Regions from separate parts of the Mus musculus genome. Here all the other regions are reported to be linked to region 1. The links are microRNA targets in miRTarBase. Many come from high-throughput screens and were not tested one by one. Region 1 holds a microRNA gene; each other region holds the end of a gene's coding sequence.

Region 1 (3,228 bases):
ATAGCATTTGTTATTCTCATTTTTTAGAAGTAGTCCATGACCTTGGAGAAAGCAGGTAGATTCTTTAATCCAGTACATGGTGAAGTATAGGTTTGAAACAGGGTTTGTAGATACCAAACTCCACAGTTTCTCTGTCTTATCCATGATGCTGGTAAGGTCCCCAGCATCACCCAGCCCCTTTTAGAAATACAAAATCTTGAGCTCACTAATGAGAAACCTCTGTAAGTTATCTTAGTACCAAGTCCTCCAGGTATCTGAAGTAACTTTAACAAGATGCTGATGTGTGTTAAAGGATGCCAATCTCTACTGCCATCTTGTGAGCTTATGGCCTCTTCTCTCTGTCTCTCTGTCTTTTTTTCTTTCAGTATTTTGTATCTCTGGCTTTATATTTTTATAATCTCAGAACAAAATATGAATGTATATATTTAGACAGGTTTCTCTGTCTCTGTCTGTCTGTCTGTCTGTCTGTCTCTCTGTCTCTGTCTCTCTTTGTCTCTGTGTCTGTCTGTCACTCTGTCTCTCTCTCTCTCTCTCTCTCTCTCTCTCTTTCTGTGTATGTGTGTGGAGGGTGCAGAGGTCAACCTGAGGTGCTTCCCCTTTGGGGACATCTACCCTGTTTTTTGAAACAGTCTCTAATAGGGACTTGGCACTCACCAGTTAGGCCAAGGGATCTAGCTTTCTTTGAGTCCTCACGCTTGGCTCTTTTATGTGGAGGCTGGGAGTTGAACTCAGGTGCCTAGACATACTTAATGTGAAGCTCAAGAACATTGTCTTCTTTCTCATCACAGATAAGCACCTTGTGTCAAAGGTGAGCCCATGCGTTCATTTGCTGTGAGCCTTTTGCCCTGCTTCAGTTCTCTGATCCTTGCTACCTGGGTGAGAGTGTTCTTCAGCAAGGATTCTGAGAGCCAGACCTTTGTGTTTGTAAAGGACAGAGCGCATCTCTCGTTCTCTTTTAGTGTGTTGCACACAAGCATATTGACCACACACAGGAAGGGCAGGTTCCTGAGCCTTCTTGCTTGCTCCCCCTCTCGAATCCTTGGAACCTAGGTGTGAATGCTGCTTCAGTGCAACACACCTGTTCAAGGATTCAAAGAGGCTGAGCCTTGTCTGCGTGTAGAATGGCCCATACTTGCACATCTCACCTGCCACCTTCCCTCCTCCTGGCCACCATTTGATTTTGGTTTTAGCTGTCAGACTTGGTTCTACACATTTTCTAACAGCAAAATGGTCTTTATCATGTTTGGTAGACATGCTTCTATTCTCAGCATGAGCTTTCTTGATTCCCAGTTTGCTAAGTGTCAGATCATGTGATGAGGAGCACACATTAGGTGCTGCTACTCAGGCAACCCGTTTGTTACATCCAGTGATAACCCCTGTTCCACAAAGCTTGAATTGTATAAAGGCATTGGAAAGGAATGGAGTATCCTCCTCCACTGTGCCCTCTTTCAGTATGTATATGCATTCTCAGATCCCAGCCTTCTTGCTACCTTCCAAACATAAATCAGGCCCCCACAAATTCTCAAGTATGATCTGGGAGAGATACCATTTTGTATACGTAGAAGTTTTCTCTGAGAGAGGATGCTCATGGTGGGAAGGGGGCAGATACATATATAAATCAGGGATGTCAAGCTTGGGTATAGGTGGTGATGCTTGGCTGAATCAGGACAAGGAAAATTAAATATTATATACAGAACCACACAAACATGGTACAGGTGCCTGGGCCTTCTGCTCTGCTCATCCTCTCTAATCCTTTGTCCCTGGGTGAAAATGCTATTTGTATGCAATGCACCCGGGCAAGGATTTGGGGAAGGTGAGCCTGATCTGCATGGAGAAGGACAGGAGGTCTGTGCATCATATCTCATCTGTTTGCTGCTTGCATACTTCTTTTATGCCTCCCCCCACCTTCTTTCCTTCTACAAATACAACGGGCATGGTGCATGGGAGAGTAAATGTGACAAATTTGGCCTCTTCCCACCTAGATTTTATAGGTAGAACTTTATTTCCACTTATGACCCTAACAGGTATCAAGAACAAGTGGGGCACATAGTAAACTGTGTATTGACATAAGTGCGCAGCTTTTCATTCTAGTTCTCATACCGACACCTGGAAGAGAAATTCTTCTTTAGTTCAACTCTTGGAGGAATGCACAGGGCAAGAACAGTAAGCCTTCTTGTTGAACCCACATGCCAAGGGCATAGGTGCAGGCTGTGCCTTTCTAGTACTTGCTACTTGGATGAGTGTGCTTTGCGAATGCAATATACCTGGGCAAGGGTTCAGACATTGAGTTATCTTCATGTAGGACCTTTACGCCTCCTTCCACTGTTTCCTGTCTATTTATTCAGTATGGCAGGTACTCAACTAGGGATTTGGTCCACAGGAGTATGAACCACATGTGGTTCAGGGAGCAAATGGTCCAGGGAGAGTGAGCTGTGTCACATCCATTATGCCTGCATGAGTGGACTGTAGACTGGGACTTCATGTACACTGTCCACTTGGATTCTTCCATATTTTAACACAGTCCCATATAAATGCAGTGTATACAGAGGAGAGGATTCACAGACTTGTGCCCACAGAGAGGATTATCTGACCTGATTCATCAGGAACATTAATCCTCAGCACAAGTGCTGTTTTCAATAGTAAGTCCTGTCCAAGGAATCCAAAGGGTGGCACTTCGCCTGCACTTTAAAGGACAGAGCCCCTATATGTCCACACCCCTGTTCCTTTTCCTTCCTTTCACAAATATTCAGGTATGCACTATTTGATACAGCTCTGTTAGTCATAGAGGATGTAGCAGGAAACAAAATGAACAGAGGTGCTACTCTCTTAGGAGACTAATAAACACACTAAGATCCTTGACTATTATAGACTCACCAACTGCTGTTCAAAAGAATGACCTAGGTCTATTGTTCCTTGTTTTCTATTCTGTATGAATGACTCAGTGCAGGGTCTGATAGATGAGATTTCTCAAACTATTCCCCCTCCCATGGCCCTAGATATGCCTAAACACATGGGCCTACGTGGAGAGGAGTCACTCGCTCACAGGAAGAGTGGATATGGAGCCTATTGTGTTGTTCCCTCTCCTCATCCCTTCAGCCCGAAGACCAGTAGACTAAGTGACTTCTTGTCAACTACCATCACTACTCCCATTTGAAGACAGGAGCTTACTGTCTTACTGTGTAGCTCTGTCCCTCAAGCTGATTCTCCTATACCCACCTCCATAGGTCA
Region 2 (3,000 bases), not on the chromosome of region 1:
ACTAGGGCTAATGACTTTAATGTAGCTCAGTGGTAGGCTGCATATACAAGCCGTAACTTCTATCCTCAGTGTAGCCTCATTCCCTGTGGAAATACTAAAACCAAACTGACTCAAGCACTGCTCTGTGGTATAGCAAGGGCATGTCGCGTGAGGCTCTGAGTTCCTTCAAGAACTGCGGGACCTTCATCCCAACCAAAGGGCAAAGAGAAGCAGAAGAGATTCATGTTCCCCGGGACATAGCTCATCTGCTAACTTCCACTGTGCTGCACGGGGCAAGGGATTCTCTTCTCAGAGCCTGGGACTGGGACAAGGTGAGGAAAAAGCCCGCTAATATCGCCCCACTTTCTTTTTCAGGTTCCAGAGGTGAGGAAATTCACACCTAATCCCTCAGCCATCTTTCAGACATCAGCTCCTCAGACTCTCAATGTGTGACCAGTGGAAGCCATGGTTGGGAAAGCCGAGCACAGCCAGACCTACCAGGCGGAGTCCTGGCCTGCTCCTTTGCTTACAGCAGCATGGCTGCTGGCTCTGGGCATGGCGTGGTGTGGAGGCAAAGGGACAGGACACCACCAGCTGCACTCAAGCCTCCCCATCTGTCCTCCAGCGGTGGCAGGGAGGGAGACTTTCTTGTCTTCTAAATTGCCATCTGACATCCTTCACTTCTTAAATCTGACGATCAATTCAGCTGTGACCTGAACAGCTCCAGACTAAGAAATGTGCACACTATCAAGTCCTTGGTAGGTCAGTTTCACACTTTGGATGGTTTCCCCAAGATGCATGTTATTATTTATTTATTTTTGATGATGTATGATAGTATCCAGGCTGTATCCTCATCTCTTTGCAGTGACCCACGTGCTTACCATTAAGAAATTTAGCTCAGCAGTGGTGGCACATGCCTTTAATCCCAATGGAGGGAGACAAAGGCTGATCTCTGTGAGTCTGAGACCAGCCTGGTCTACAGAGCGAGTGATAAGACAGCCAGAGCTACACAGAGAAACCCTGCCGCAAAGCAAATGGGGAGAGGGTATCAATCTTAGGTTACCAGGAGTAATCCCAGCACTCTAGAGGCAGAAGGATCTCTGAACTCATTGCCTTCCTGGTCTACATAGCAAGTTCCTGGAGAGCCAGGGCTACACACCCAATTTCAAAACAACAAAAATCTTTAGGGAGTTTGTGTGTGTGTTTTAATATATAATTACTCGCACACAACTCTCATGGTAGTGATGTGTGTCTAGGGAGATCATCCATGTCAATCTCAACCATGTAATTTCTTTATAGCTAAGATCCTGTTTCAAAGGAAACAATTCCTAGGATGAGTGGAACCTTGAAAGCACGAATGGCATTCACCCCATTTTACTAATTTCAGTTGTCCCCCCTCAACACGAGGATAGAAGGGAGCTGGAAGCATGTCTGGAGAGCATCTCCTATAGGGCTTTAGGCTCCCCAACTCTGGTTAGCTACTTACTACCCTGCTGAGGGGATAACTCATCCTGTCTTTGGAAAACTGAGGGGATAACTCATCCTGTCTTTGGAAAACTCATCTCCATAAATTCCAGCCAGCACGTCTGTGTGGAACAAGCCCATTCCCCTTTGCACACCCCTTCAAGCGCTGGAAAGAGCCTGAGAGGTTTAGCAGTGTCTGGTAAGAACTATAAGGACTTCCTTGTGGTTCTTTTCTTCCCAGGCTCTCCCCACGGGAGCATCTAGGTCTGATGGTGTTTCAAAGCCATGGCTGAGGAAGCAGCTCAGACCTCCCACACAGCATCCCCTCAGAGGTGCTAGCAGGCCCAGCCTCCCTCTTACCAACCATATGCATACGCCAAGGATCCTGTCCCTCTAGGTCTGTCAGCTTGCATGCTCAGTGTTCCTAAGAGGGAAACGATTGCCTGCTGGGCAGATTAACAATTTACTAAAATGCAAAAATGTGCTGCAGCAACTTGTTATAAACACAGGCATATTCTTTCCCATCCCTGTAGCCTCCCAAAAATGGCCGTAATATAGTGTAGCTTCGCTAATATCCTTGAACTCCAAACCCTTCTTGCTCAGAGCTGCAGATGCTTCCAGTGTTGCAGGTGTTACCTTCTTTCCACTTCAGCTCTCCTGCATACTTAAGTGGGAAAAGGGGCCATCTGTGCCACTGCTGCTTCCTCACTGGCAGGGACAGTGAGCACTCCACTTCTGCACCTGAAAGTGAGACTGCTATTACCTATACCCTGCTGGCTTGTTAGGACATCCTCCGGAAAGCCAGCCAAGCATGGCTCCCCAATAGTCCTTTCCACTTTAACTCTTCCAGGTACCTTTTGGTCCTGCTGTAGCCACTGGCATGCCCCAGCTAAAAGCCTCCAGCTGTACACTGCTAGTGACCGCACCACATGTCCAGCAACCCCACCCCCTGCATTCACTCTTGGTGTAGAGATGCATGACCTCAGCAGTGTGCCACAAAGCTCTTCTCACCAGTCCTCCTGAGGAATGAAACCCTGCCCTTAGGAAGTCCCTCCTCATTGCAGATCTGAGTATGGTCACATGGTTCCACGAACAACCAAGAAGCCACCAAGGCCAATGTCAGCCTTGTTCTCTTAGTTCTGAGTCCACCTTACACACAATGTGCACAAAGACCAGAAAAATACACTGGAGGATGAGCAGGGCTCATCTCTGAGAAAGGAGTGTGTATATGGCGTTATATGTACGTGTGTATTCCTGTATATATGGGGATGTGTGTTCATGTATGTGCAGGCACGTGTAGAGGACAGAGGACAACTCAGAGTATTCTTCAGGTACCCTTCATTTTTCTCACTGGCCCAGGGCTCGCCAAGTAGCTTAGGCTGCTTGTATAGCAAGCCTCAAGTGATCTGCCCATCTCTGCTGCCTCTCCAGTGCTCAGATTTTAAGTGTGCACCACCATGCCTGCCATTTTTATGTGGGTTCTGGTGACTGAACTCAGGTACTGCATGCACTTCAACTGAGCCATCTCTCCAGCCCAAATTTTTAAAAATACTTTAT
Region 3 (3,000 bases), not on the chromosome of region 1:
CTGAAGGAAACATTACTGCCAAAAGGGTTGTTTGTAAAAATTCTTCTTTCTTTAAATAGCTGTGTTAGAGGTCGATTGATGGAGGTGAATGAAAACATTCTTCATCAGCCATCTCTTCTTCAAGAAAAGGTAAGGGAGAGGCGGGGAAGGGCACCCTGCCCACATACCTCTTAGAAGTCATCAGGCATTGCTAAGGGTTCTGCTTTCTTCCCCAGCCGTCCACTGAAGGCTACATTGCAGTTGTATTACCCAAATTTGAAGAAAGTAAAAGCGTAACAGAAGGGTTGCTGACACAGCAACAGTATGAAGAGGTTGTGGTAAAACGCACTAATGCCACAGCCACCACGCCCTGAGTCTTTCGATGGAGGCAGCACTGGATTCTCAGCCTACCCGGCCTAACCCATCAGTGCCCTGAAGACAGCCAGTGTGTATGAAGCATTCCTCGCAGCCGCCTAGCCGAGAGAGAAGCCTAAACCTTCACCTAACCTAATTTCCCTCCTTTGTCTTACATCACAAGCCTTGTTCCCATCTGTATTCAGGCTCTCAGACCTGCCTTGCCCAGGCTCTTGCTTTGTGTGCTGGGAAGCGCACTTGTGGGTGTTCACTTGCGTATACGTCAGAAAACAACTTCAAGTGCTTTTTTTAACCACAGTTTCTCATTGGCTTGGAACTTTGCCAGATAGCTCATGTACTTCCAGGGAGGTACCTGTGTTCTCTGCCTCCCACCTTCCCAGGCTGGTATTACAAGTACACACCACCATGCCCTCCTTTATATGGGCCTGGAAACCCAAACTCTGGGCTTCATGCTTTCAAGTTGTATTAGTTACTGTTCAGTTGCTGTGACAAAATACCACAACCAAAAGCAACTTCACAAAGACTTTATCTGGGCTTGTAGTCCAGAGGACTAGATGACTATAGCAGTGGGAAGGCAAGGTAGCCAGGGCAGGAAGCTAAGAGATCCCATCCCTACCACACACCAAGACTGCTCTTGGTGAACTGGAAGGAGAATGAGGTTATAAACAGGCCCTGGTGATACAATTCCCCATCAAGACTTTCTGTCCTAAAAGTCCCATAAGCCCCCCCAAACAGTACCAATGACTGGGGACCAAGTGTTCAAATACCTAAGTCTAAAGGGGTCATTTTTCATTCAATCTACAACATTCTTCCCATAATGGCTATAGGCTCATAGTCAGGTCATGCAAAATGTAGTTAGTCCAATATCAAAAGTTCCCATAGCCGTTAATAGTCTCAGTGCTGTTCCAAGATCTCTTCAGAGACTCAATGCAATGTCTTATCTCCCCTGTGAATCAGAGAGCCAGGAACATACTTCCAACACACAATGGCACAGAATATACATTCCCATTCCAAAAGGAAGGGGTGATGACATAGTGAGGGAATATTGGACCAAAGAGTAAAAGCATGATGAAAGCCAGACCCTGCAGCTCCATATTCTCTATCTAAGGGTTTAGTTTCTGAGATGCCTCTGACCCGTCCACACTGCTGCCTGTAACAGATCATTCTCTGGTGATTCTGCTCTGTGCAGCTCTTCCTTGGCAGATGTCTCACAACTTGTATTTCCAGTGTCTTGGGATTTGTGCCACAACCCAAATTTTACCTTGACAGCTTCACAGTGGCCTCTCATGGCCTTGCAGAAACTCTGTCTCTGCCACATGTTTCCTCAGTGACTTTCTGAAGCCAGGAAGAATCCACTTTTCATTCTTGCATCTTTTATGCCTGCAAAGCTAGTACCATGTGGAAAATAACTTGAAAAATAGACTGTCAGCTTACAGTGCCTTTCACGTCCACGGCAGCTCTTGTATGGTGGTGCTTTCTCCAAGCGAACAGCCAGGTTCTTAATGCTGTCTTTCAGAGTGGAGGTTTATCTGAAAGGATTCTCTCCTTGACCAACTTCCACTGTCCCAGTGTTGAGCAAGAGACACTTTAAAAAACTTTATTGATTCTCTGTGAGTTTCATATCATGCACCCCAGTCCCACTCATCTCCCTGTCCCTCATAATAGCCCTTCACCCTTGCAATCTCCTCCCAAAATAAAAGCCACACACACACACGAACAAAACAAAGCTTAGATAATATCTCGTGGAAAGTAGAATATCAGAGTGTGTCCCACAGTCTATACGTCTGTCTGTGCATCCTCACTTGCAAATGTTCATTGCAGTGAATGGTTGGTCTGGTTCGAGATCTCTGACTTTGTGACACCATCAATATTGTATCCTCAGCCAGGCGTGATGGCGCACACCTTTAATCCCAGCACTCAGGAGGCAGAGGCAGGTGGGTTTCTGAGTTCGAGGCCAGCCTTGTCTACGAAGTGAGTTCCAGGTCAGCCAGGGCTATACAGAGAAACCCCGTCTTGAAAAACCAAAAAGATATATTGCATCCTCCTCGGGACTCCTCCCAGTTATTCTGTTGTTGCTCTGTGTCATGGAGGTCCTGCAGCTTTGGAGCCGCAGGACTGGTCCCTTCACAGATTGAGGAGATTTGGGGGTGGGCCAATTCAGAGTCCTAGACCTGAGCCTGGCGGTAGCTGAGCTGGCCAAGAGGCCACCTCTTCCTTATCTGTACCACCTGGAGGAGCCCTTTTTCTTTCTTAAATGTGTGAGTGCTTTGTCTGCATGTACATTCGCATACTAGAAGAGGGCATCAGATTCCTTTACAGATAGTCATGAGCCATCATGTGGTTGCTGGGAATTTAACTCAGAACCTCTGGAAGAACAGTCACTGTCCTTAATCACTGAGCCATCTCTCCTGCCCAAACCAGGGGACTTCTTAATAGCCCCAGTCTCTAATAATAGCAGCCTTTCTCAGTACATGCCTCCCAGGTCATTAAGTCAATATTGAGCTTCTCTGTGTTCTCTTCACCAAGCTGTACACTTGGTATTTACCCCCAACGTGCTTGTTTTCACTGATCAAGTCTATACTGTCTTGAAATAGCTAGTGGCAGAGAAATCAGACCATTACTTTTTAATTCAGCGTCATGCCAAAT
Region 4 (3,228 bases), not on the chromosome of region 1:
TTGAATCTCAAATTTTTGGAGAAATAAAAATAACCTGCACATTTCAAAATAAAATGATGTTTCTACTCTTTTCTTTTGAAAATTTAAAAGTTATACTTACCGATGGGTTTTGTGTGTTGGCGCATAGACATGTTAGGTTGCATATGGTGATGGTGGGGGTCACACAGCAACTTTCAGGAGTCAGATCTCTTCATCAGATGAGATGGGGATTGGGATCAAACTCAGATTTGGTGGCAAGCCTCTCTATCCACTGAGCCATCTTGCCGGCCCTCATTGTTTCTGTTTTGAATGCTCCAATCAGCAAATACAGAGACAGTCTGCTTCTAGAATCTTCTGCTCTGCCCTTGATAGGACGGACCAAGAATAAAGCTCCATTATTATGGGATATCTACCTGGCGAGCTATCTTCTAGAGCTGAGTTTTCCTGGCTAGGGAGATGGTTGGTAACTGACAAACATCGGTGTTTGCTTTTAGACCCTGAGAGCTGGGCAGCCAGCCTGTCAGGTGCATGCACAGCTCAGTTGCTGGCAGAAACCGCTGAACTTTGCACAGGCAGTGGGTGGTGAAGCACCATGTGCCTGACCTGCTGTTCAGCTTGGAGCTAACAATGCCTTCAATTATGACTTCAACAGGCAGCTTTGAGGGATGCTCTATTCATTAGTGTGTTTCACTCTATAATTAGTAATAAAGGAACACAGACGCTTACAAATATAAAGAGCTAAATAATAATCAAGCAGTAAAGGCAAGACATTGGACCCTTCCTCCTAACTTTGTTTCTTTCACATCAATAAACATTCTACAAGCTTTCCCCCTCATCGCTTCCCTTTGTTGAGCGATCTGAGTTCACTCTCACCCTGGATTCTTATTAGCTGTATGATGAGCAATGCTTTGTCTAACTTGCTTATGCTTCAGTCTCTTATTTGCAAAAATAGAGTTAGCCATAGTTCCTATGGCATGGAGGTAGAAGAGAATTTAATTCTCACAGAACTCTCTGTAAAGAGCTTTGCATATAGAAAAGCTTCCTCAGGAAATGCCAAATCTCATTATTATCTTCATTTTAATTTTAAATGGAATGCACACAAGGCTTTGACCTAGATGGGCTCATTTTTTTTTTTTTTATCTTTTGCATTTTGAAGGCATGTAGCCCAGGCTGGCCTTGAACTCCTGATCTTCTGCCTCCATCTTCCAAGTACTGGGATGAGAGGTGAGTGCCACCAGGTCTGACTCAATGGCTGTTTTAAACCTTCCAAAGCGACCCTCTTCATACCCACGTGTGCCCATACCACCATTGACGATTATCAGTAATAGTTTATCAATCTTGTTTTCATACAGTTCCGTGGTTTTGTTTTCTTTTGTTTTGGAACATGTTAAAGCAAATCCCAGATATGTGTCACTTCATCTTCAATGTATATGTTCCCTCATCCTTTTTTCCCCCCTGCAGTGCAGGGGACTCAAACTCAGTCAGAGAAAGCATCCCAGCACTGTACTCTGTCTCCATCCTATTTGTGTATCTTTTCGGTACACCATCTTAATAAGCAGTTTTGGATCATCTTTACCTCAAGCCCCAGCTCCTGAAGGAATTACTGGGCTCTGGTAAAATCTCTACAAATGTTTGCTTAATTCGTGGATGAACGGCTCAAATATAGCCTTCCCCCACTTTTTAGTAAATGCTCAATAGCTGTTTGTGGAAGGGGTAAGAGAGGGCAGGAACTTTGCATAGCAGCAGATGCATACGGAGTCATAAATATTTTTACAAAGTCAACAAATGTTTTTAGTTGTTGGGCAAGATTTTGCAATACCCCAAATCCCACAGGCTTGGTGTCCCCAGAAGCACCAACAATGCCCGAATAATTAGCTCTTGAAAGGAGGTTTAATTCTGGTACTGAAATTATTTGTGAATATCTGACTTCAGGCAACTCTATGAGAAGCAATTAGCAGATTCTTCAAATACATGACGAATCCTTTATTACTGTGCTTATAAGTGACAGAGCTTACAGAGAACCGAATGTAATTAAATAACAGTAACTTGAAATCTACCACAGACTCAAGATCTACAAGTTGTTAGACTTGGCAAGGCAAAAACTTCTCAAACATTAGGTTGTTTCTGGTGAAAGATAAAATCCCAATGAGCAATTCCAACACATTTTGTTTTTTGTCTTACAGACAATTCCTTTGGCAGTAACTTCCACTTAGCTTTTAATATATAAAAATATAACAAAATTTCAGTATATACAAACATTACATTACACAATGTACAGGTTAAAAACACTAAGAAAATTGCAAGCCACAAATGAAATTAAAGCCAATAGCATGATAAGAAAAATTAAATACTGCACACATTTCATAAAAATTACATTAACTACATTTTTTTTGTTTGCAAATACCAAACAGTACCAATGTGATTGGAAATAGCTTCCAACAACTTCATTTTAAGGCACATCTTGCATATTTATATATACAACACTGAAACCGGTCAATAACTTAGGGACGTGTCAGGGTGACCTGTATATGTGTGTGAAGACATGCAGGATAAGATTACACATTTTCATTGATTCCCTTCTTCGGGGACACGTATCTGCTACCAGGAGGGGATTCATAGAGGGGTACTCCAATCTCCTGCAGGTCTGGGAGCCTTCCTGGACGGGGAGGGGAGAGTAAAGTGACTGTCCTGTCATAGTCTCTATGCAGTACTTTCTCATAGACGCTCTGCAACCCTACTGTCTTGGGGAGCTGGGCCTGATAGTAATTGTCCCTGCGCAGAGGATCCCGAGGCAGGGACGTGCTCTTACAGAAGGTTGACATCTGGGCTGGTGGGTGAGGAGGGGGGTGTACGTTGGGTCCGGCACAGGATGGGCTCCAGCAGCGATCAGAATGACCTAGGATCTTGCACTCAGCAGTACACGCCCACAGTCCTGGGGGGGGGGGGAAGAAAAGAAATTCCTGAGGTTAGTATTCTAAGGCTGCACAATGTCAACGGGGTCAGGGCAGCTGGAGAGGATGGCACATGCTTTCCATGAAGATAACTTGACATAATGCAAAGTGTAGCTCCTTTGCTGGGAGAGCAGCAGCAGCAGCAACAACAACAACACAAAACGATGAATAGAATACCCTCCTTCCACGGCTAGCATCGCATTTAAAGGGAATGGGGTCCGGCTGGGACTGGAGTATTGAAGAGAGGGATGAAGGAGAGGGACTGGGAACAGAGGTTTTGAGCAGGCAAGAAGTTGGC

What was found. Region 1 holds the annotated microRNA mmu-miR-362-5p (AAUCCUUGGAACCUAGGUGUGAAU, at 1,035-1,058, shown strand). A microRNA usually pairs through its seed, bases 2 to 8, with sites in the 3' UTR of a target mRNA and lowers its output. Matches are read on the target gene's strand: a 7mer-m8 pairs with bases 2 to 8, a 7mer-A1 pairs with bases 2 to 7 and ends in A, and an 8mer does both.
Region 2: miRTarBase lists Map6d1 as a target of mmu-miR-362-5p. Seed matches in the 3' UTR shown: 7mer-m8 at 1,821-1,827.
Region 3: miRTarBase lists Abitram as a target of mmu-miR-362-5p. The part of its 3' UTR that is shown has no 7-base or 8-base seed match.
Region 4: the mRNA of Pcdh8 is a reported target of mmu-miR-362-5p. The part of its 3' UTR that is shown has no 7-base or 8-base seed match.

What each region holds. Positions count from the first base shown.
Region 1 is chrX:7,239,849-7,243,076 of GRCm38, reverse strand. Mir362 (microRNA 362) reads left to right here and starts at 1,031; the gene lies at 1,031-1,095. The region is part of intron 2 of Clcn5 (chloride channel, voltage-sensitive 5); the gene reads left to right. It overlaps Mir501 (microRNA 501), which reads left to right and starts at 1,726; the gene lies at 1,726-1,834.
Region 2 is chr16:20,233,394-20,236,393 of GRCm38, reverse strand. Map6d1 (MAP6 domain containing 1) reads left to right here. Exons shown (of 3, transcript NM_198599.2): 3 at 355-3,000. The coding sequence ends at 432. Among named protein-coding and RNA genes, the nearest start is that of Gm41431, 1.8 kb to the left of the region's middle.
Region 3 is chr4:56,805,819-56,808,818 of GRCm38, forward strand. It overlaps Abitram (actin binding transcription modulator), which reads left to right. Exons shown (of 6, transcript NM_001081420.1): 5 at 60-129; 6 at 216-3,000. The coding sequence ends at 353. Among named protein-coding and RNA genes, the nearest start is that of Elp1, 5.0 kb to the left of the region's middle.
Region 4 is chr14:79,764,837-79,768,064 of GRCm38, forward strand. Pcdh8 (protocadherin 8) reads right to left here. Exons shown (of 3, transcript NM_021543.4): 3 at 1,936-2,911. The coding sequence ends at 2,535. Among named protein-coding and RNA genes, the nearest start is that of Gm9748, 3.5 kb to the right of the region's middle.